Nothobranchius furzeri: one gene and its partners. The protein of the gene in region 4 interacts with the protein of the main gene of each other region in a pairwise test. Links are inferred from orthologs where the notes say so. Each region holds a gene or a part of one and is shown on either strand. Other genes may lie near its edges. The genes, in order: ikbkg, plk1, htt and tank.

Evidence for each region.
Region 1: the proteins of tank (region 4) and ikbkg interact in binary tests that used the Homo sapiens proteins (3 or more experiments, as listed by UniProt). The link is inferred for Nothobranchius furzeri from reciprocal best matches to the Homo sapiens genes TANK and IKBKG.
Region 2: the proteins of tank (region 4) and plk1 interact in binary tests that used the Homo sapiens proteins (3 or more experiments, as listed by UniProt). The link is inferred for Nothobranchius furzeri from reciprocal best matches to the Homo sapiens genes TANK and PLK1.
Region 3: the proteins of tank (region 4) and htt interact in binary tests that used the Homo sapiens proteins (3 or more experiments, as listed by UniProt). The link is inferred for Nothobranchius furzeri from reciprocal best matches to the Homo sapiens genes TANK and HTT.

The regions. Positions count from the first base shown.
Region 1 is NC_091755.1:44,541,520-44,547,256, forward strand, and holds the start of ikbkg (NF-kappa-B essential modulator), read left to right. Parts: upstream 1-1,756; 5' UTR 1,757-1,781; intron 1,782-1,954; exon of another isoform or gene 1,955-2,279; intron 2,280-3,614; 5' UTR 3,615-3,616; coding exon 3,617-3,755; intron 3,756-5,737. Other genes in the region: tmed4 (transmembrane emp24 domain-containing protein 4), read right to left, coding at 553-678, 752-852, 1,479-1,668. UniProt on the Homo sapiens protein: Regulatory subunit of the IKK core complex which phosphorylates inhibitors of NF-kappa-B thus leading to the dissociation of the inhibitor/NF-kappa-B complex and ultimately the degradation of the inhibitor.
Region 2 is NC_091744.1:8,885,477-8,891,386, forward strand, and holds the start of plk1 (serine/threonine-protein kinase PLK1), read left to right. Parts: upstream 1-2,446; 5' UTR 2,447-2,626; coding exon 2,627-2,980; intron 2,981-3,295; coding exon 3,296-3,464; intron 3,465-3,574; coding exon 3,575-3,719; intron 3,720-3,793; coding exon 3,794-3,887; intron 3,888-3,968; coding exon 3,969-4,191; intron 4,192-4,315; coding exon 4,316-4,358; intron 4,359-4,471; coding exon 4,472-4,569; intron 4,570-4,701; coding exon 4,702-4,779; intron 4,780-5,404; coding exon 5,405-5,559; intron 5,560-5,645; coding exon 5,646-5,828; intron 5,829-5,909; coding exon 5,910-5,910. UniProt on the Homo sapiens protein: Serine/threonine-protein kinase that performs several important functions throughout M phase of the cell cycle, including the regulation of centrosome maturation and spindle assembly, the removal of cohesins from chromosome arms, the inactivation of anaphase-promoting complex/cyclosome (APC/C) inhibitors, and the regulation of mitotic exit and cytokinesis.
Region 3 is NC_091746.1:25,505,040-25,510,237, forward strand, and holds part of htt (huntingtin), read left to right. Parts: intron 1-1,523; coding exon 1,524-1,644; intron 1,645-1,988; coding exon 1,989-2,048; intron 2,049-2,139; coding exon 2,140-2,219; intron 2,220-3,842; coding exon 3,843-3,981; intron 3,982-4,103; coding exon 4,104-4,245; intron 4,246-4,339; coding exon 4,340-4,518; intron 4,519-4,589; coding exon 4,590-4,794; intron 4,795-5,013; coding exon 5,014-5,061; intron 5,062-5,198.
Region 4 is NC_091754.1:19,406,016-19,411,844, forward strand, and holds the start of tank (TRAF family member-associated NF-kappa-B activator), read left to right. Parts: upstream 1-2,324; 5' UTR 2,325-2,590; coding exon 2,591-2,604; intron 2,605-3,091; coding exon 3,092-3,233; intron 3,234-3,355; coding exon 3,356-3,464; intron 3,465-3,571; coding exon 3,572-3,654; intron 3,655-4,233; coding exon 4,234-4,286; intron 4,287-4,398; coding exon 4,399-4,517; intron 4,518-5,829.

The DNA of each region.
Region 1 (5,737 bases), on a different chromosome or scaffold from region 4:
TTAAGTGACCTGCTCGGTGACTGGTTTTAAATGACCTGTTTGGTAACTGGTTTTAACTGACCTGTTCGGTGACTGGTTTTAACTGACCTGTTGGGTGACTGGTTTTAACTGACCCGTTCGGTGACTGGTTTTAACTGACCTGTTGGGTGACTGGTTTTAAGTGACCTGCTCGGTGACTGGTTTTAACTGACCTGGTCCTAGTCTTATTGGTGTCTTGTTTCTGTTTTATTTGTGCTGTGTTCAGCTCTTTGGCCCTTGAGGATGATGGAAAGCGCTACACAAATAAAAGCTGATGCTTGAAAACCCAAACTTCAGCGGTTTAGGAGGAGCAACCAAACCAAAATATTCCTTCTTTCTTAAGGAAAATCTAACTGAACACACACATTTCCAGCTGCTGCTGATGTTTTTGTCCCTGCTTCTATTACTCGTTCACTTTTTTGACAGGTTTATGTGTCACTTCTACACTGAAACAATATTTACTTTGGTTTTTTTAACCCAACCTGTGGAAAAGTGAAACCGTTAAAAGTCAAGCCATGGTCCTGGTCTCCGTACCAGCTTTCCTCCTGCAAACAGAGCCATCTTTGTGGAGTTGGAGTGCAAACAGATCTGATGCTCTCCAGGAGTGTGAGAGGTGAAGGTGAAGCGTCCGTCAGAGCCGTACTGACGAGAGAGGATGATCTGGAACGTGGAGGAGACACCTTCAGACTTACACCTCTGCTCTGAACCTCCAGACCTTCCTGTCTGGCTTTACCTTCGTGTCTGGATCCTTGATCTCTACATGCATGCCAAGGCCGGGGGTGGATGGGAGGAAGGAAGTGGTTTGTTTGTCCCACAGCTGAGTCCGGTACTTTCCTGTCACACACACACACACACACACACACACACACACACACACACACACACACACACACACACACACACACACACACACACACACACACACACGATCATCCACAAATTGGATGCCAGTAATAAACCAGCTTAACATCTGCTGTCCTGTGTTAGGACGGAATATTGGACACATGGATGTAATAATAGTATTTATCTCATAAAATCATCCCAGCAATGAATGAAATATTTAATAAACATTCACATTTATACCCCATCTCCTCTTTGCATTTAAAAGATTGTGTATTCATTTTGATATTTGACAGATCTTTTGTTTAGGTTTGATGGAAATACCTTCGTAAACAGGAAAATGTTTATTTTATTGATAATAAACAACAAGCTAAAGATCAATGGCCAAAAGTTGAATGTTTCCCTTAAATGATCTGAATTTTCAGATATTTAAACGTTATTTCTCCTCAGTGGTGAACAACCCGCAGCTGAAGCCTCCAGAATTTCCTGTCTGACTCGAGTCTCTAATAATAATAATAATAATAATAATAATAAACAACTATTGGTGTCATCTGCTGCATCTTTAAACAACCAGCTGTTAGCAAGACGGCTAGTTAGCTGCGTTAAGCTAACCGGCTCACCGATCACCATCGTCTCGTCTGGAATTTCTTCAATGAAGCATTTTTTCTCCGTCTCTCCGATGTGGAAATAAAGCGCGCCGCTGGGGTAAATCCAGGCCACCAGAAGAGAAACCGCTGCGGCAGAGATGGGGAGCATCTTCACCTCCTTCACGTTAGCGGACATCAAAATGCTGCAGCGCACTGACGTCATCTTCCACTACGGAACAAGGAAGGGGCTTTCCTGAGAACGGAGTGTTTACACCCTGGGTTAATACTGACAGGAGAGTTTTCCTCTGCAGCGCTTAAAGATACGATGTGCCACTGGTATTATTTAAATTCACAGCCATTTCGATTTGATCACACACTTGTAATTTGTCAACTTTTTTATTGTTCATTTGTGTTAATTAAACGTCTTAAAATAAACGACACGTTTTTCGATGTTCGAGTCACGGGTGTTCTGCCTACAAGGCTAAACTGAGGGTGATATATCACGATTTTTCCACGCTAATAACAGTCGAAAAGCTGACAGCTTACCTTTGGTTTGCCTCTGATTTACCTCTGGTAGTCTTAAACTCACGAAGGAAAGGATTCAAAACTGGACACATGCTTTAGGAAGGCCACATGATCCGTTGATGTAGGTCCGTGTTTATGTGAAACCAAAGGCGTCCGTTTGCCCAGCCGTTGTTGTGCTATATTAGCTTACTGAGCTAATTAGCTGTATCTCAGCTGTTTGAGTCAGATTGCTCTTTTAAACTCGGTGAAGGGAGTAGTTTGTGAGTCTGAGACTGGATAATTGTTGTTTACGACATAAAATTTAAAAAGGTAAGACAAGTTTTGTGTCTGTTAGCTGTGTGTTAGCTATGTTGTCTAAACAGTATTTAACGTGAGCTTTGCTGAGGTTATCGTGATGTTCTTCATAGCAGACACCTGATCTTACTTTTATGACAATGACAAGGCTGAGGTCCCATAAGAAGAGGTTGATGACCACCTGTTCTCAGGTGTAACTGTTCAGAAGGGCTTCTGGCACCTCGCCAATGAGCCGTGACACAAACCGGTCATATTAAACACAGTTAATTCACATTTAAACTGAAAGTGAAAGTTTCACGTTTCCAGATCCCCAACGGGGCTGAAACGTGTCCAGTCCCCCTAGACGTCATGCTCAGGTCTTACTTACACCTGAAATGTTCACTTGTTCCATGGTGGCTTTTAGGATCGTTTTTCATTTTATTTTTCTTTTAATCACATATTTATGTACTTCTTATTTTAAAATCAAACAGCACAGCCACGATTTGAGCCTGCTGTCTCTCAAATAATAACAATTTTAATTGAACAAGGACAATATTCATACAAGGGAAAAATATACATGCAGGAGATCCTTGTGACTTCCTGTTTTTTCATCTTTATGAGCCATTTGGTATGTTATAGTAATGTGAATTTAACAATAAGAACATGGTGATAACTAGAATTAGAACCATTTGTATTTCTGATATTTTTGTGCATTTGAAAGCGATCGGCTGTAGACTCAGATAATTGCTTGATTGTTCTTTTTTCTAATTTACTTCTGACTTCAATGTGTAGATTATTGGAAACCATATTTATAAGTAAGGAAGTAGTTAGCGAACCAGGGGAAACTTTTTTCTTACTAGAGCTACAGAAGCAGCAAAAGTTGCTGTTTTGTCTGTTGTTGCATTAGATGACAATCGGAGCGACCACAATAACATAAAAAAAGGAATAGAATAGACTTTATTAATCCCACAGTGGTGAGATTCACTCACTACAGGTGTGACGTCATAAAGCAGTAAAGAAGTGACTGAACTCTGCAGTTTCTGGGATGATTTTCTGTTGGTGGTGAAACAAACTGTTCCTGCCTCTGCTGGTTTGAACTGACCTGCAGTGTTGATGGTAACAGGTTTTTTAGTCTTTCTTACCAACGTACACAATATGTTTTAATTTGACTAACAAAAAAGTTTCTCCAATGCCCGTTTAAATAAATGCCACGAAGGCTGGATTTTAGACGTTATTAAAAAATGAGCTAAAAGTGTAACAAGTCTCCAAAGGAAACCAGGAAACAGGTTCAGGAACCGCCAGAGTCTGAGTTCTTCATATGAAGAAGTGAATGGATTAGATCTCTGTAATTCCCAGCCTTTGCTTCTGCAGGAATGGTGCAGCCGCAGCCTGATGGTCCGATGCAGTGGGACATGTCAGGAGAGGACTGCGGGGGGGTCCTCAGGGTCCCACCAGAGTTCGCTGGTAATGAAGTGGTGACCAGATTGTTGTGTGACAACCAGCAGCTTCGAGGTACCTAAAAACACACGACGGTCACGCTTGTGTGTATTACCAGATGCTCAGCGGGGCTTTTAGGTTTCCGTGTGTCTGATTTAGCATTTTCAGAAGTCGTTTAAGTTTAGAGTTATCGAGGTAAAAGAACAAAGTAAATTCAAACAGTAATTTCAGCCTTTACTGTAACGGTGATTGGATGCAGGAGCGGTGTCCACGACAGGCTGAGTTTATCAGGATCAACACATGCTGCTTTTATGCAGTTCCAGACTTTCCTAGATGACAATCCAATCCTTGAGTTTTTCAGTCTGCTTCTTGTTGTCGGCACAGCTCTGAATCTGCTCTTCTAGCTGTCCGTAGCAACATTTCTTTAGCTGCTGATGCTAAATCGGCAGCGGTTTTGGTTCTACTAGCCCTCTCAGCAGCCTCGACACAATCAACCACCCACTTCCTATCAGAATAGTATGTTGGCATTTGAGGTAGGAGTCAGTGAATCCTGCCTTGCTCAGCTTCAGAGGGTTCTGAGTGCTGCAGCTCGCCTTTTAAGTGGCAATCAAAGGTTTTCCCTCATTTTAGCCTCCCTGCACTGGCTGCTTGTTCATTTTAGGATTGATTTTAAAATGATTTTATTTGCTTTTAAGGGCTTAAATGGCCCGGCCCCTCCCTATCTGTCTGAGCTACTGCATCGCTACACGCCCGCTCGTTCGCTCAGGTCAGCTGATCACAGGAGTAGCTACTCCTCAACACGGATCAGTCACCCACACATTCACACACTGGTGGTGATGAGCTACGATGTAGCCACAGCTGCCCTGGGGCGCACTGACAGAGGTGAGGCTGCCGAGCACAGGCGCCACCGGTTCCTCCGACCACCACCAGCAGGCAAGGGGGGTTTAGTGTCTTGCCCAAGGACACAACAGCAGCATTCTCTGGTCAGAGTCGGGATCAAGATGGTGAGATTTCATCCATCATGACGTGTCAGAAAGACAGTCTGAGATGTGTGTGGAAATTGTGGGCTCATCCGGCGGGAATGACGGATAGAGCTGGGTGTCGTCAGCATAGTAGTGGTAGGAGAAGCCATGTGATTGAATGATCTCACCCAGTGAGGTGGTGTATATGGCAAAGAGGTGCTAGTACAGAGCCCTGGGGGACTCCTGTGGCAACATGGTGAACAGCAGAAGACTGTCCTAGCCACGATACACTGAATGATGGTCCTGTCAGGTACGATTCAAACCAGGAGTGTGCTTTCCCTGTGATGCCCACGCTAGAGGGTGTGGACTAAAGGAAGCCATGGTTCACAGTGTCCGATGCAGCCGATTGGTCAAGCAGGATAAGTACTGAGGATTTGGCAGTCGCTGTTAGTCACTGCTAACAGAGCCGTTTCAGTGGAGTGGCCATCTTTTAACCCGGGTTGGTAGAAGAAGGGTCAAGCAGACAGTTTTGTGACAGGTGTTCTAAGATCGGCTTGAAGGCCGCCCTTTCAATGATTTTAGACAGGAATGGGAGGAGAGATAGCTCGGTAGTTCTCCACATGATCTGGAGGAAGGGAAGGTCTTTTAGCAGCAGTTTAACCTGAGCGTGCTTGAGAGAGGTGGGAAGTGAGGTCAGTGAAGCGTTCATCACACGTGTGACTGCAGCAGCTACTGTAGGAGCAACAGATCGGAGCAGCTTTGTCGGAATGGGGTCGAGTGGGCCTGTCGTAGGGCCTAACCCTTGGACACACTTTTCTCAGAGGATGTCCAAATCTGTCTGCCTGTTTAACCGAAGACGGGAAACACGACTGTGAAGTTGTCTAGACCACACCGACATGGCTGTCTGAAAACCTTACTAATGAAAAGACTCCCGTTTATTTTGTCGCTGGGCTGCACTGACTTTCAACTCCCTCCAAATATTTCTGTGGGGTTGAGATCTGGAGACTGGCCAAGCCCCTCCTTCGTTACCCGGACGGTGTTTGGAATCACGGTCATGCTGGAAGACCCAGCCGCGTTTCATCTTCAGTGCCCTTG
Region 2 (5,910 bases), on a different chromosome or scaffold from region 4:
GTTTAGAATCAAATCAATTTCATTACATTTTCTTTATGTTTCATTTAACTTTTTCAAATTTGTAACCAGTGTTTCAATGTCCTTTATCCACGTACTGCAAGCCATGCATAGAATCAAATTGTCTTTTATATGTTCAGGACATACAGGTGAATCAATACAGTGTTTTTCTCTCATCTTTGTGGTACAGGAAAAACAACATTTAAAAGTAAAAGTATATAAAGATAAGATTATATAGAAATATGAGAAAAGTAAATGTATTGATTTTCATTGACAGTATAAAAGTTTTATTGGAAAGAAAATAGCATGCTGGAAAATAGTGCTGAAGAACAGAGCTGTTGCAGTATGTCAATATTTGTATTTAAGTTGCACCCAGTGACCTTGGGTGTTCTGAAAGGCGCTTTTAAATAAAATGTATTATTATTATTATTATTAAACACGTCTGTTTATAATTTCCCTGAGCTGGAGAAAAAAAGGTAAAAAAAAAAAAGAAATAGATAGTTAATAAGACAATCTGATTATTTTACAATTTACTTAATAGTGAATAAATGAAACTTTAATCCTTTAAGGTCCCAATGAGTATAAAATGAAAAGCTGGAGGAAATTATCACACCATATTTAGTTACATTGGATCTTTAATCCCAACACGGATTAGAATACAAATATCATACACTATTTCTCTTTTCAACAGATCATTTTTCCTGTCCTTGGTCCCTGGCAAACATTACAAACAAATGCATAGTGCTAGCATCATTTGAATATTTAAAACAGTCCCTACAGTCTTTTTAGGTCATTCATTATTATAAAGTGAAAACTAAAAGTTTGCATTCTCCACATAACTTTTAGATTTCACCATCACTTTTGAAGACAGACATTTTGATTAATTTTATTCTATATTTACATATCTTTGGCTGAAATATGTATTCTAAATGTGGCAAGCATGTTGTTCTGATTTAGGAAAAAACATCCTTTGTCCTGGTTTTGCTAACGCTTTACTTTATGTAGGTGAAAAATTAAAGAGCTCACAGCACCCTTGAGATTCCAGTGAGCCAAAACTGTGGAAGAAAAGAAGATGAAACATGGAGGGAGGTAACCTACTCTACTTTCTTTGTGCCCCTCTGCAGAGGACGTTCAGCTCTCTGCAAAATCCTGTGTAATAAACTAAATGTGTGTAAATGTTGACCCATACAAGCACAGACAAGCTTACTTCATTTAGTTTTCCCTACAGCATCTTCTGTGTGTTGCCATGGAAACACATGGCAGCAGAAGAGAAGGATGAATGTGCAAAAATGGAACAGACACATATAAGCCAGCAATCTCCACACATCACCCACCAGTCGGACTAAAGCCTGAAGACCATTTATAAACAAACACACAAAGTGAAAAAACAAAAAACTGTAAAACACACATATTTTAAAGAGTGTGTGCATAGTAAATAGTCCCTATATTAAACATCCCCCCTTATAACAAAGTCAAATCAGCCACTAGCTGTGCACTCTTACTTTTTGTTTTAATAACTATGGGAGGCTTCAACAGAAAATGATTCCCTGGAAAAAGTGTTGTGGACTGAAATTTTTATTTTAAGATGATGTTACCTATTTAATGATTAGACATTTATAAAGTTAATTCTAGACCATCATGACAATAATCTATTTATGATCTCATTATTTACAGCTGTGAATCCGTGCTGTGTCATATGAAGTGCTTATTGTGTGATTGGTCTGAAAAAAGTGCTTTCTCAAGGAACAATAATTGTGAATTTGTCCACTGCTGCCACCCAGTGGAATATGTGTGAAAGTGAATTAAACTATCAATAATGTAATTTTTTGCAACATCATGATTTTCTCAATTTACCTTTTAACTGTAGAAATACACAATTTAATAGTTCTGTGCCGATATCGTTTTTGCAAACATGCTTTTATTACTCAAAACGTTTGTGCATTTCGTCTTATTTTATTTCAATTTTCGTTTTTATTTTGACCACACTGTCGTTTCACTGTTTTATCCAGTTTAATAATATGATTACATGTTAAAATTAAATCCTTCTTGGATTCTGGATGACGATAAAATCAAGTAAAATCTAACACTAGTCTACATTTACCATCAGCCTTTGCGTTAAGGAAACGCAAGACGTCATTGAGCCAATCACGATGTTAGAACTTTATTTCAACCCCGTTGATTGGCTAGTTTTGCATTTTTCTTCCCACAATGCTTTGCGTAGAATTCAAATCAAGTGGACCAATGAGAAAGCGCCGTGGCGACAGAGCGAGCATTTAACTTAATACTAGAAACTGTTTTCGAAGGGCAGAACAGAACACAGGAGACGCCGCCGTCGGACACGTCTGCTGAATTATTCCATGAGGAAAGCAGATTTATTTTAATATTTATGTCTATATATGTCGTTTTATAATTGTAGAACCTAATGTTAATTATCGCTTGCTTTCAGGAAGTCTAAACTCGTGATTAGATTTAAATTCAGACGTGTATGGGAGAAAGTTAGCTAGCTAGGCTAAAGTAACGTCGGTTGTGTTAGGGTTAGTAGTTTGATTCTTGTAGTTTTCACCACGTTTACTGCGCGGAGAGAAAATAAACATTCCTGTAAGTTCATAGAAGACAGCTCTAATACAAAATGAGTGCTGGTACCGCAAAGCCGTTGGAACGTGCGGATCCCAAATCGGCACCTCTCAAAGAAATCCCAGAAATTCTCGTTGATTCCCGAACCATGAAAAGATACACGAGGGGGAGATTCCTCGGGAAGGGTGGTTTCGCCAAATGCTACGAGATCACAGATGTAGAGACGAAGACGGTGTTTGCTGGCAAGATCGTAGCTAAGTATTTGTTACAAAAGCAGCACCAAAGGGATAAGATGACCTCGGAAATCGCCATACACAAGAGTCTGGATCACGCTAACATCGTCGGCTTCCACGGGTTTTTCGAAGACGATGACCATGTGTTTGTGGTCCTGGAGATCTGCAGGAGAAGGGTGAGTACGATGGAAGGAAACCAGCTTTTCAGTGAGGTTTAGAGCCGACGGTTAAACACTGCGACATCTTCCGTTGTCCTCATGTTTAAATAGTGGGAAGCAAGCAGTACCAGACTCATTTAACACCTCACAACTATTTGATCTTTGATAAAAACATCTTAAAAAGAAACTTCTAGCCTATAAATGTGGGTTTATTGGTCCAGTACCACTCTGGTGGCCCCATGTGTACCATATGTTCAATCTTATAATTAAACGCATAAAAGATCACTCTTTTCTTGAGCTGTTGTCTTGACTGTTTAAAATGCTTTATTTCAGTCCTTGCTGGAGCTGCACAAACGCCGCAAGGCTGTGACGGAGCCTGAAGCTCGCTACTACATGGCCCAGCTGCTGAAGGGTGTCCAGTACCTGCACAACAACAAGGTCATCCACAGAGACCTGAAACTGGGCAATATCTTCCTCAACGACGACATGGATGTCAAAATTGGTACTCCACTTGCTTGGACTTGTAGCTTGCACTAGATCTTTTGTTTTTATCACGTCGAGAAGGATTTGAATCAAAGCATGCCTCGTTATTACGTGTTCTCTCTTGTTTAGGGGACTTTGGCTTGGCGACTAAGATCGAGTTTGAAGGCGAACGAAAGAAGACTTTGTGTGGAACGCCCAACTACATAGCACCAGAAGTGCTTTGTAAAAAGGGCCACAGCTATGAGGTCGATGTCTGGTCACTTGGGTGCATATTGTAAGTACAGGCCCACAAACGCAACTCATTTGAAATGTCCCAGCTGTGAAAGCTTCCCTTTTCTGTTCTTTCAGGTACACTCTGTTGGTGGGCAAGCCCCCGTTTGAGACCTCCTGTTTGAAGGACACCTACAGTCGCATCAAGAAGAACAACTACACCATCCCCTGGGTATGAAAATCAAACTGAATGCACCGTTTTCTTTCTAAAATTAAGTTAATAATTGAGTCGTATGATCTGAACAACCTGCAGCACATCACCCCGACTGCGGCGACTCTGATCAAGAAGATGCTGCACGCCGATCCTGCACAGAGGCCAAGCGTTGCTGAAGTGCAGGCCGATGAGTTCTTTACGTCCGGCTACATCCCCCTCCGTCTGCCCACCACGTGTCTTACTGTACCCCCTCGGTTCTCCATCGCCCCCTCCACAACTGCAGAGCTCAGCCAGCGGCGTCCTCTGACTGCTCTAAACAAGGGTAATGGCGATCAAAATGAAAATCTTTGTTTTTATTTTTCCTAGGCAATGATGTTTGAGTTGATCCACATAGATTTTATTAGTCTTGTTTTAGATGTTAACGTTTTTTTTTTCTTTGTTCCCAGTTGGTACGGAGAAAACGGAGGTGAAAGACGAGCCTATGCAAAGGTGTTTTTCATTTATTTATCACATGACAAACATTTTATAAAAATTCTAGTTCTGTTAGTTTTTATCTTTTCTTTGCGTAGATGTTGTTAACCTTTAAATGTGTGTGTGTGCAGGGCGGCTGAACCATCAGAGCCCTACCTGAAAGACATGCTGCAGCAGCTGAACAGCATCATGTCCACCAAACCCTCTGAAAGGGCCGTCATCCAGCAAGGTTAGTGGACGTGTCTCACTTCGTCTTTACCGATCTTGTGGAGTCTCTGTTGCTATTTCTCTGAATTTTGTCAAAACGGATGCGGTTATCTACTTTTTAATCTACATCTAAGGTTTTTTTGTGTAATTCCAGAGGAGGCCGAGGATCCTGCGTGCATCCCCATCTTCTGGATCAGCAAATGGGTCGACTACTCTGATAAATATGGATTAGGTAAATGTTAGGAGACCGTTTGTTTGTTCACATAAGCTGCAATTTTAACTTTGTAAGTTTGGTTTAGACTATTAAAAGTATATACAGGGTATCTGCAGGTCCATAAAAAGTCTTAAATTAGCTTTTCCAAATTTAAGGCCTTAAAAATCCTTAAAAATGACAAATAGTCCTTAAATAGTTTCCAACGGTCTTAAATTACCAAAGACCCAATAAACAAGATTCTTTTATTTCTATAAAATTTTCATGAATTTCTAGTTAGTTTGGCATTTTTTGTGTATGATATTGGCGTAAGCGGAACCGTACACATTCGGTTGGTTGTGAAAGGGGGCTATTTTTAGATGAGCATGCTAGTGGGAGTTTGCACCATGGGGAAGTGCAACATTAATGGTAAATGGATGGCTAATCCCACGTTCACGACCTGGTTAGCACCGGTTCCAGGCAATAGCTGGAAATTATAGCTTAAATTTAATTTAAAAAAAAAAGAAGCTTAAATTTGGTCAAAGTGGCCTTAAAAAAGGTCTTAAAAAGTCTTAAATCTGGCTCCCTTAAACCTGCAGATACCCTGTATAGATGTTATCTGGTACTGTTAAAAGTATCTTTACAGAGTTTTTAATGTCTGTTCCAGGCTACCAGCTCTGCGACAACAGCGTGGGGGTTCTGTTCAACGATTACACCCGGCTCATCATGTACGCTGACGGAGACAGCCTCCAGTACATCGATAAGACTGCAGCTGAGTCCTACCTCAGCGTTCGCTCTTTCCCCGCTACTCTCAACAAAAAGGTCAGACAGTGTTTTTATTTATTTTTTAATTCCATTTTATCCCCTTCAAGGCCATCACAGTGACTTGTATTTCTCTCTGGCTGTAGATTACGCTGCTGAAATACTTCCGTAACTATATGAGCGAGCACCTCCTGAAAGCTGGGGCCAACATGGCGCGGCGGGAGGGAGATGAGCTGGCACGGCTGCCTTACCTCTCCTTGTGGTTTAGGACGAAAAGCGCCATCGTACTGCACCTCAGCAACGGCACAGTTCAGATCAACTTCTTCCAGGTTAGATGGTTAACCCTTTCACTCAACGCGTGATGCTTCACGTGCGCGATCCCTCATCTTCTATCATTATGTGCTTTTCAGG
Region 3 (5,198 bases), on a different chromosome or scaffold from region 4:
GACAAGGACACAAGACTGCTATGTACGAGGCTTGGGTCATAGTAAACAAACCAGAGAACTACGTCTTCACAGCCAACTGTACCTGCATGGCAGGGTGAGTATAGCATAGGTTTCTTTTTTTAGCGTGCTCAGAGTACAATCGTGTTAATTTTAGAGAAATACAGTTTATACTAATAGGCAGTGGGAAAATACAGATGAATTAGAATGAAATGTTAATTTGAAGCATGAAATAAAGCATATAAATTTGTTTAATTCTGTCATTTTGATGTTCCAGACTTGGGTCATGCTGCAGCCACGCAGCAGCAATTTTATTCAAAGTTGAGTTTTGTGTTAGGATGGGAAAAACAGAAAAGGCTGCAGTTACATCTCAGGCATGTGCATGGAAAGACCTGAGCAGGAAAAATGTAGAACCAGCTCCACTGAAGAAGATCAGTTTCCACAAACCGAAGAAGTTTAGCATAAAAGCTCCCAGCTGCTTCCGAAACTGTTAGGAGGAGCAGTGTCACACTAAGAGGCATGTAACGAATGACAAGTGTAATCTAAAGTTCTGGTTTGTGGTTGCACATTGAATGTATTATTTCTTAATTAATTGGTAATAATATACACGCAACAACCCGACATTTTTATGTGCTCAGAACTTCAAAACAAAGGGTTTAAAACGCTGTTTTAGTATCGAGTGTGAATGAGGAAGCCTTCACTCTCGTTGCCCGGCTGCGCGCGCAACTTTTGATGACGTAGGTAGTAAAAGGGTCTATTAACGGTGACTTTCATGTCATAAAAATGAGATTTACGTCTCCAGAGCCCCCTTCAGACAGGCCATGAAAAACGGAAATGTTCGGGACTCTGTCCTTAAGACCTTTGTGTCTGAATACAAACATCCGGATAACCTTTTCCGTAATTAAACCGGACGAAGCCCCTAGTAACAGGACCGGACTTGTCACGGACAGGTTAGCTGCTTCAGACTGGTGAGGTCGAGTTCCGGACAGGGAGGGGACCGGGAGGCGCTGTGCGCACCTAGATGGCTCGCTCCTGTAGCCTGCGGTGATCCATGGCAGCTCGCCTCCTACGGTACCGTCTCCTAGGCGCGAGACGGAGCGCTTCACACCGCTTCCGTGATTCCTTTATTAACCATTGAGCTTCATCATCCAGGTCTCGTCTTCATGTGTGCAGAATTATGCTTAACATAAGTCCGACCAGTGAGAGGAATTCTAGCTCTTCGTCGGCCATGTTTGAATGAATAGCTTTGTTTGGGTAAATGACGCATGTACGCCCGCCGCACCATGTTTACGCAATATCCGGGTCCAGCCTTCCCACCCCCTCCCCCTCAGACATCTGGAACTTTTCCCTGCTGTGTGAAGGCAGCTGAAAGGACAAGTTCAGGTACAAAAGTGGTGTGTCTGAAAACACAGTCCTGCTTAAAAACCGGACTGAATTGTCCACACATGTTCCAGAATGCCAATCTGAAAAGGGCTCAGGCGTGTTATGCCAATCCTGATGTTTGCTGTGTGTGATCCTGCAAACAGAACATCTCCAGAGTTCCAGAAGCTGCTCGGCATCGCCATGGAGATGTTCCTTCTCTGCAGCGACGACGGTGAATCAGATGTGCGGATGGTAGCTGACGAGTGCCTGAACAAAATCATCAAAGTGAGCAAAAACCTGCAAGACTCCTCCCACTTTAAAGTTGGCTTTGATTCGACGGTGTTGGACTTTTTATCTGACTGACTGGCTTGTTGTCGGCAGACTCGCGTTTATGTCGCAGTTTGCATTAAATCTGGCCCTCCATGTTTCCCATCAGCACAGACGTCGAGAGTTGGGGTCGAGGGAAAAGCTTCGCCTCAAGTAGTTTTGAGGGGTTTTCTCCTAATTTTTGCATTAAAGGAAACTTTTGATTTTAATGAACAGAAAACAGTTTAGTTGTTATAAAACGATCTCTGTGAGGATTTCTGTTTGTTTTCGTTGTTGAACCAGTGCTTGTTTTAACTCTTCAGGCTCTGATGGACTCAAACCTGCCCAGACTGCAGCTGGAGCTGTACAAAGAAATCAAAAAGGTCGCTTGCAGGTTTCTACAGTACCCCGAGTTTAGTTTGTGATCTAGTAAATAACGACAAGCGTTGTCATTTGTTTTTCACGGCTCAACAGAACGGTGCCTCTCGGAGTCTAAGAGCAGCTTTGTGGAGGTTTGCTGAGCTCGCTCATCTCATCCGACCACAGAAATGCAGGTAGCTGTCTAAATGTTCCTGTTATGTCGTCATATTCAGATGGCTGAACGTTAAAGGTGCAGTATGTAAGATTATAGTGAGAATGTTAGTGTGAAAATCCCATAAGAGTCTGTTTCAGTCATGTTGGCAGGAAGGTTAAACTGAAACATGTTTCATATCCAGCTGGCTGTGGGAATTGTCAGATTTTCTCCTTTCAATACAAAGGAAGGAGGGACGTAACTGCTTTACATCAGTGAGTGTGGCGTTGCCGAGCTAATGCTGCAGCGCCGACGACGGCCGGCAAAAAGCTCCAGAGTTGTTTAAAGAGCAAGTCACCCCCTACCAGAGTCTTACTCCGCTCCCACTTCCTGTTTGTTAAATGCAACAAATGCTGTTGCCTAGCAGACCGAGAGGGCGGAGCCGCTAACAAATACACACACAGGCTCACAACGACTTTGTGACATCATATGGTACCAGCTAACATTCTAGGGTACCTCTTAGCCAATAGCGATGGCAGATTTAAATTCAAATGCAGTGCAGAGTTTTTACCTGACAACGGCACAACACTGACGGTTTTAGGCAGAACATTTGAATTTTAAAGAGCAAGTCACCCCCTACAAGAAGCGTACTTCACTCCCACTTCATGTTTGAAAAGCGCAACAAATGCTGTTGCCTAGCAGACCGAGAGGGTGGAGCCACTAACAAATACACACACTCACGACATTGTGACATCATAATGTACCAGTTTACATCATAGCATACCTCTTAGCCAATAGCAGTGGCAGATTTAAATTCAAATGCAGTGCAGACTTTTTACCTGACAACGGCACAACACTGCCAGTTTCAGGCAGAAAATTAGAATTTTAACTAAAATGCACTAAAGTGCAAAACTATTGACTACACGTGTCTGCAGCACGATTAGACACACGTTTATATAGTTTATCGGGAAAAAAAATGTTGATTTGGGGGTGACTTGCTCTTTAACGTGGCTGCAGTAACCACATTTTACCACAGGATGTCATTTTTACTTCATTTCTACATGATGCACCTTTAAACATGGTCTTCTAGGTTTACGTAAAACAATGGGCTGGATGATTTAAGCTGCGTTGCTGAGAGCCAGGTGAAAATGAAACGATCAGAATCTGGTGCAGAAGTTAATTTATGTCAGTAAAACAACCTAAAAGGTAAAACTAATCAGAGACTGACTCGGTTCATGCAAATCCAGATGTTTTGGCTTTTATCTGTTCCATCTGTGATGATAATGGTTACAGCTGATGAAAACCCCACATTCAAAATCTCCAGCAATCAGAATATTGTTCAATGTTCTAGACTCTTAAGTGTCACGGTCTAATCAGCTGATGAATCCAGAACACCTGCAGAGGGTTCCTGAGCCTTTAGATGGTCTCTCAGTCTGAGCTGAATTACTTACATGAATGGACTTTTTCTCCAGATTCCAGTTTTTAGAGTTTTATTTGTAGTTTTTCTTCTGTCGAATCCCTAAAACTTGTTTAACGACTAAACTTGTTTTGTTAAAATGTGGCTGAGAACTCCTCGTGTAGCCACCGTGGCAGCGACTAGTCACGTTCAGTGTTGTCTCCGACTCAAATACATCACAACCTGATTGTGCTTCTCTCTGCGCTGCAGACCGTACCTGGTCAACCTGCTCCCATGCCTCACCAGAATCACCAAACGGCAGGAGGAAATGGTTCAGGAGACTCTGGCTGCAGCGGTGCCCAAGATCATGTCAGCCTTGGGACATTTCGCCAACGACGGCGAAGTCAAGGTGCGCCCCGCCCACTTGTGTGTTTTGTCAGAGTTATGTGTTGGCCTCTTGGCGAAGTATCCGTCTGTGCGGTCAGACCGCAGCTTTAGAAGCACATCGTTTCATTTAGCGTCTTTTTTTAGGTGCTGCTGAAGTCATTTGTTGCCAACCTGAAGTCCAGCTCCCCCACCATCCGGCGTACGGCAGCCAGCTCGGCCGTCAGCGTGTGCCAGCACTCGAGACGCAACAGCTACTTCTACACCTGGCTCCTTAACGTGCTGCTGGGTGGGTTACTCTAGAAGAGTGCTTCGGTAACGCCTGTTTAAGGGTAACGCCCAGTTTAACGGCAACACAACACACCTGTTCCATCGTTCTCTAGGCCTGCTGGTTCCGGTAGACGACGAGCGCCTGAGCCACCTGATTCTGGGGGTGCTGCTAACTCTCCGCTACCTGATGCCTCTGCTGCAGCATCAAGTCAACACCTCCAGCCTCAAAGGCAGCTTTGGGGTCATGAGGAAGGAGGCCGATGTGCAGCCAACACCTGAACAGCTGCTGCAGGTGAGCGTGCGTCAGGTGAATGTTTCCATGCGTTGGGGCTGTTTGCTGAACAATGCTGCGCGTGTCTGAAGGTGTACGAGCTGACCCTGCACTACACGCAGCACTGGGACCACAACGTGGTCGCCGCTGCCCTGGAGCTGCTGCAGCAGATGTTCAGGACCCCCCCACCAGAGCTTCTGCACATGCTCATCACAGCCGGCAGCATCCCACACGCCACCGTGTTTCGCCAGGACACGGAGAGCCGCGCTCGCTCGGGAAGCATCCTGGAGCTCATCGGTAATGTCAGCCGTAGAAGGAGCCGGGTGGTTTCTGCAGGGTGAAAGCTCGTCATCTCTTTGGTGCTGAGTGATGCGGCTTCGTCTTTGCTCCTTAACCCGGCTCTGTCTGTTTCTAAATGATTGTCTCTTTTTTTCTGTGAGTCTTCGTTTTGCTTTTGCTGCTTCTGTCTCTCTCTCACCTCCTGATACTGCTTCCTGTTTTTCCTGCCACTTGCAGCGGGGGGAGGGTCTTCCTGCAGTCCGCTCGTTCTCAGGAAACAGAGAGGTGACTAGTCTGTTTATGTCAAAGGCCCGGCAGCTTCACCTTCACTCAAAGCTCAAGATCGATTCTAATTTATCTGTAATGAATTAAAGTGAAACCATCTAAGGTTTCCTTTAGGTGTTTACCTTGATGTCTTTGCC
Region 4 (5,829 bases):
AAAAAATATGAAAAATATTGATGGGAGCTATATGTGTTGGCAAATGCATGAAAAAGTTGCTTTGTTCTTTGAGTGCTACATACAGGTGCTGGCCAGTAAATTAGAATATCATCAAAAGGTTGAAAATATTTCAGTAATTCCATTCAAAACATGAAACTTGTACATTATATTCATGCAATGCACACAGACCAGTGTATTTCCAATGTTCATTACATTTAAATGTGATATTCATAAGTGACAACTAATGAAAACTCCAAATTTGGTATCTCAAAAAATTAGAATATTCTGAAAAGGCTGAATATAGAAGACACCTGCTGCCACTCTAATCAGCTGATTTACTCAAAACACCTGCAAAGGCCTTTAAAAGGTCCCTCAGTCTTGTTTTGAAGGCACCACAATCATGGGGAAGACTTCTGACTTAACAGCTGTCCAAAAGACAATCATTGACACCTTGCACAAGGAGGGCAAGACACAAAAGGTGATTGCTAAAGAAGCTGGCTGTTCGCAGAGCTCTGTGTCCAAGCACATTAACAGACAGGCGAAGGGACGGAAAAAATGTGGTAGAAAAAAGTGTACAAGCTCTAGGGATAACCGCACCCTGCAGAGAATTGTGACGACAAACCCATTCAAAAATGTGGGGGAGATCCACAAAGAGTGGACTGCAGCTGGAGTCAGCGCTTCAAGAACCACCACGAGGAGACTCATGAAAGACATGGGATTCAGGTGTCGCATTCCGTGTGTCAAGCCACTCTTGAACAAGAAACAGCGCAAGAAGCGTCTCGCCTGGGCCAAGGACAAAAAGGACTGGACTGATGCTGAGTGGTCCAAAGTTATGTTTTCTGATGAAAGCAAGTTCTGCATTTCCTTTGGAAATCAAGGACCCAGAGTCTGGAGGAAGAGCGGAGAAGCACAGAATCCACGTTGCATGAGGTCCAGTGTAAAGTTTCCACCGTCAGTGATGGTGTGGGGTGCCATGTCATCTGCCGGTGTTGGCCCACTCTGTTTCCTGAGGTCCAGGGTCAATGCAGCCGTCTACCAGGAAGTTTTAGAGCACTTCATGCTTCCTGCTGCTGACCAACTTTATGGGGATGCAGACTTCACCTTTCAACAGGACTTGGCACCTGCACACAGTGCCAAAACCACCAGCACCTGGTTCAAGGACCATGGTATCCCTGTCCTTGATTGGCCAGCAAACTCGCCTGACCTTAACCCCATAGAAAATCTATGGGGTATTGTGAAGCGGAGGATGCAATACGCTAGACCCAACAATGCAGAGGAGCTGAAGACGACTATCAGAGCAACCTGGGCTCTCATAACACCTGAGCAGTGCCACAGACTGATCGAGTCCATGCCACGCCGCATTACTGCAGTTATTGAGGCAAAAGGAGCCCCGACTAAGTATTGAGTGCTATACATGCACATTCTTTTCATGTTCATTCTTTTCAGTTGGCCAACATTAGAGAAACAAACATTTTTTCATTGGCCTTTAGAATATTCTAATTTTCTGAGATACCAGATTTGATGTTTTCATTGGTTGTCACCTATAAATATCAAAATTAAACGTAATAAACATCGGAAATACATTGGTCTGTGTGCATTGCATGAATATAATGTACAAGTTTCACGTTTTGAATGGAATTACTGAAATATTTTCAACCTTTTGATGATATTCTAATTTACTGGCCAGCACCTGTATTATTTTACCTGTTTTCAGGGCTGCGTTTGCAAGGCCTCAGACTTTGCTGTCTGTGGCTGAATGGGCTGCAAATTTGCATATAAACTATTAAAATAATGTAAATTAGCAGATGCATACTTGTTTTGCATCATTTTATGTGTAAGGCACACAGGTTCTTATTGTTTCCTGAATTTAATAGCAACAGCACTGCAACAAATGATTTGCAAGGTTTATTCAAATCAGTCGCAAATCTTTAGGCAAAGCCTGCACAGGTAGGCGTGAAGTATTAATTAAAAAAAAGGAAAGTAACAAAGCATAAAACTCAAGTTTTGGAGACAATTTTCACATGCACAACAGTCGGTTTGTAGACGCGTAGGCTGGAAGAACCCTCAGTTCAGTTAACCACCCTGCACTCCTCCAAGCTCGCCGCTGATTGGTCAGGCTCGGGTAAAGGCGGAAGTCCACAGAGCAGGGGGATTCCCCGAGGGAAGTTCCCAACTCAAACTGGGCTATGTAAAACACACATTACCATATCCTCTGTAGCGCTTCGTAACTTTCTATCAGAAGATTAGGCGACGATGCGGCCGTGGTGTCACAACAAGACATTAATTAGACTTTAAGGAGTAGCTGGAACGAAGGTAAGAAGGGACGCGCTCGCGCCGGCTGAGCGGATCCGCGGAGAGTCTCTTTCCTTTTTCTTCTGGTTCTTTTTTGATTTGACCGGCTGAAAGCATCAGAAGGAGAAGGCATTACAGATAGTTACAGTTCAAATAATACGGAACTATGAAACACTCCAAAAAAGTCAAACTCAAAGGTTTCTTGGAAGGTTTCTGCGTATTTATTAGCTTACGGTAACTGATCCAGGAGCAGCTGGTAGCTACTGGTTAAGCTGACACTTCTAATGGAGAATAATTGATGGAGAGATCCTGGTAAGACTTCCATTAGCTTCTTTACTATCACTCATCAGTTTCAGCTGTAAACACGGTCCTCCATTTGTTTTGCTCTAATATTTAAATTAAAAAAGCAGTGAATCTATTAGCATAAATTATTTGCATCACTTTTTAGTGGTTTAGCTGCTCATCTGCATTTATGTCCTCAAAACTGAAGAAGAAAATCAATATCTGACATTTAGATCCAACTTTTGTTTCATCTAGACTTAATATTCATGAAGAAAAACGTATTTTCATGATTGCTCAATTCAGCCTGATACAGTTTTCCTCATTGCATCAGTCCATTACTTCAACAAGAATTTAGCAACATTTGTACAAAATATAAGTCTCTTTTCATAATTTAAAATGAAACAAAAAAATATAAGTATTAAGCAGATAGTAAATGCAAATCATGCCTAAAAGTTGTTTGAATTGTGATTTATTTTTTTGCAGAAGCGGCTGTAATAGTTTAAAATTTCACTTACAGGGCTCATGTCTGCCGTGTCAGTGATGACCGCGGAGCACAAGGCATGGAAAGGAACATTGGAGACCAGCTCAACAAAGCTTTCGAAGCTTATCGCAAGGTCTCCATCGAAAAGGACAATGCTAAAAAGGAGCTGCAGAAAATGGTAACTGCGGGTTAAATTGTTGCAAGCAGATTTGGTTCTTTATGTTTCCAATAGAAATTTGTGTAAATCATCTAAAGCTGTGTTTATTGATGGGTAACTGAGCATAAATTGTGTGTTTACAGACTGAATATTATGAGCGATACACTCAGGAGCTCCAGAAGCAGATAGAAGACCAGCAGAGGTTGATTTCTGAACTTGAAGCTAAGTTGTCTGCAGCGAGTCAAACATCAGGTTTGAACAAACACGCTCTTACTCTGCACGCATCCTGGGATTTTGACCACATTTCAAACACTTGTATTTTGTTTTACTCTCTTAATTTCCTACATTTTGATTCCTAGAAGAAATAAAATGTGAGCCTTGCAACCATCTCCTCGAAGGGCCCGGCACTTACAGGACACCACAGACCCCGGTGTGTTCTCGCGTAAGAGTCACAGCTCTTTCCACCTCATCGTTGAAATTAAGGACATGCATCCAGTAGCTTGCAGCTTCCTCTCACATTTGTAGAAGTTGGCAGAGCTTCTGCTTTAGTTTGGTGCTGCTATATAAAAGGACTTACAGGAACAAATCAGACCTGCACCCATCTAGAAGTGTAGAATATTAATACATGATTCAAACTGGTACTTTTTAGCATTTCCCTTAATGGTCTTGATTAGTTCTTAGTAATGTTTTCTTCCATATGTGCAGCACTTATTATAGTCATAATATTATTGTCTTGATTATTTCAGCAACAGTAAGACAATGTCTTAATTTTTCTGCTGACTTCAGCATTTTTACATAAGACTGTGGCCTGCAGTGCGTCCCCTTTTACTTCACCAGATGGTGCTAGAGGATAACATCACTGCTCAGTGCAGCTTCAGCTTTTCAAGGAATTTTTTGTGTCTCAACCAACCAGGAAGCATTTTCACTTGTGATGCATGAAATAAAAGTGTGCACGTCTCGGCAGCATGCTCTTGGATAATTGTTGTTAATGACAACTAAAAATTTAATGTGTCTTTTTCAGAAGATGGGCACCGTTGCTCCTAATTTGCCCGTCAGCAGCAGCGGCGTTGACTAGTACGTGTCTCTCCTTGACTGTTTCTTTTATTATCTCTTCAAATCCACAAATCCTGATTTTACAATTTAAAATGTGACCCCCCCCTTACATTTTGTTTTATTTATTTGCCAGTCAGGACATGCAGGGGGCTTTTGAAGCAATTCAAGGTCGATTTCGACAGATCCAGTCTCTAACCAGAAGACAAAAAGATCACCTGAAAAGATTTCATAGAGGATGCGATGCGTCAAACGGTAATAGTGACCTTCGTATTGCACAACCTTGACAAAATTTCCTTAAATGTGCAGAAAAGCTTTATTAAGTTGCATAAATATGTGTTCGTTTTTAAATTATATCTGTTCTGAGAACATCAGTGGCTGATCTCTGGGGGGAAAAAAGATTTAAAAGCATATTTAACCAGGTTAATATTTTCTTTACATAGTGGATGTTTTAATAACTCAAAACTACAATACCTTTTTAAAAATTATTTTTCAAGTTTTTGTATCTTCTAAAATGTGAATTAAAAGGATCTGTTTCATGTAAAACAAACAAGAACACGTTAACAACTTGCACAACAGGAAAAGGAAAAAAAAAATCTATATTTTTTGTGTGAATCTCTTTACAGTTCTTTTAGACCTAAAGGCTGCAGACATCTTTTTTCCCTCGGTGTTGAATCAGTTTAAACCGTGTCCTTTTGAAACTTTAATTAGTACATGTGCATATCATGCATGTAAATTTTGACAGCCCTATGAAAGTATCAGTAGCAGGTTGTGCGCTAACTGGAGTTGATAAGTGCAACATTTGACTGCTGATAGTTAAATTCGCTGCTTTGTTATGTTATTGCTTGCGTTCTGTTGACCCTCCGTCCACTAACGAAACCAAAAACGGTGACAATTTGAAATGCGTGATAACAAAACAGTGACACAACACATCTGCTGGCTGCTGCCGTTCCAGGAAGTGAGAAACACAGTGGGTTTTTGGTCACACCAAAACAAGAAATCAGAGGAATAAAACGTAATTCACTGAAACTTTTATCGCCACACAACCTCGTGGAGAGCTGCTTTGTTGTCGGACATGATGAGAACATCTAATCTCTGCTGACAAAGTGGGAATATGTGCGAATGCTTGTTTAGCAAAAAAAAAAAAAAATGAAATGTACGCAAAGGGCTGACAGCGGTTTGAATCAATGCTTTTGTCTTCTTCATTCTCGTGATGCATCCTCTGCTCTAGGGCCTTTTTTTATTGTCTTTGCAGCAAAATTCCATTAATTCCGTAAGAAACGGCACCTTTAAAGTCCTGGTTCGGTTTTTCTGAAGTGAGTTTTCTGTAGAAAAATTACGATTAATAATTATCTTACCTGCTGTTGAAAGTATTTTGAGTCACCTCAGTTTGGAAAATTTATATCTGACCAACTATCAAGTAATCTGAGTGATAAAACCAAGAATTTTTTTCTCTGCTTCAAAAAAACCTCTTAATTAGAAAATGTCACAGTGGTTCATACTCAAGCTATGTAATAAAAGACCAGATCTCTGTCAAGTTAGCGTTACACGGTCATTTATGCAAAGT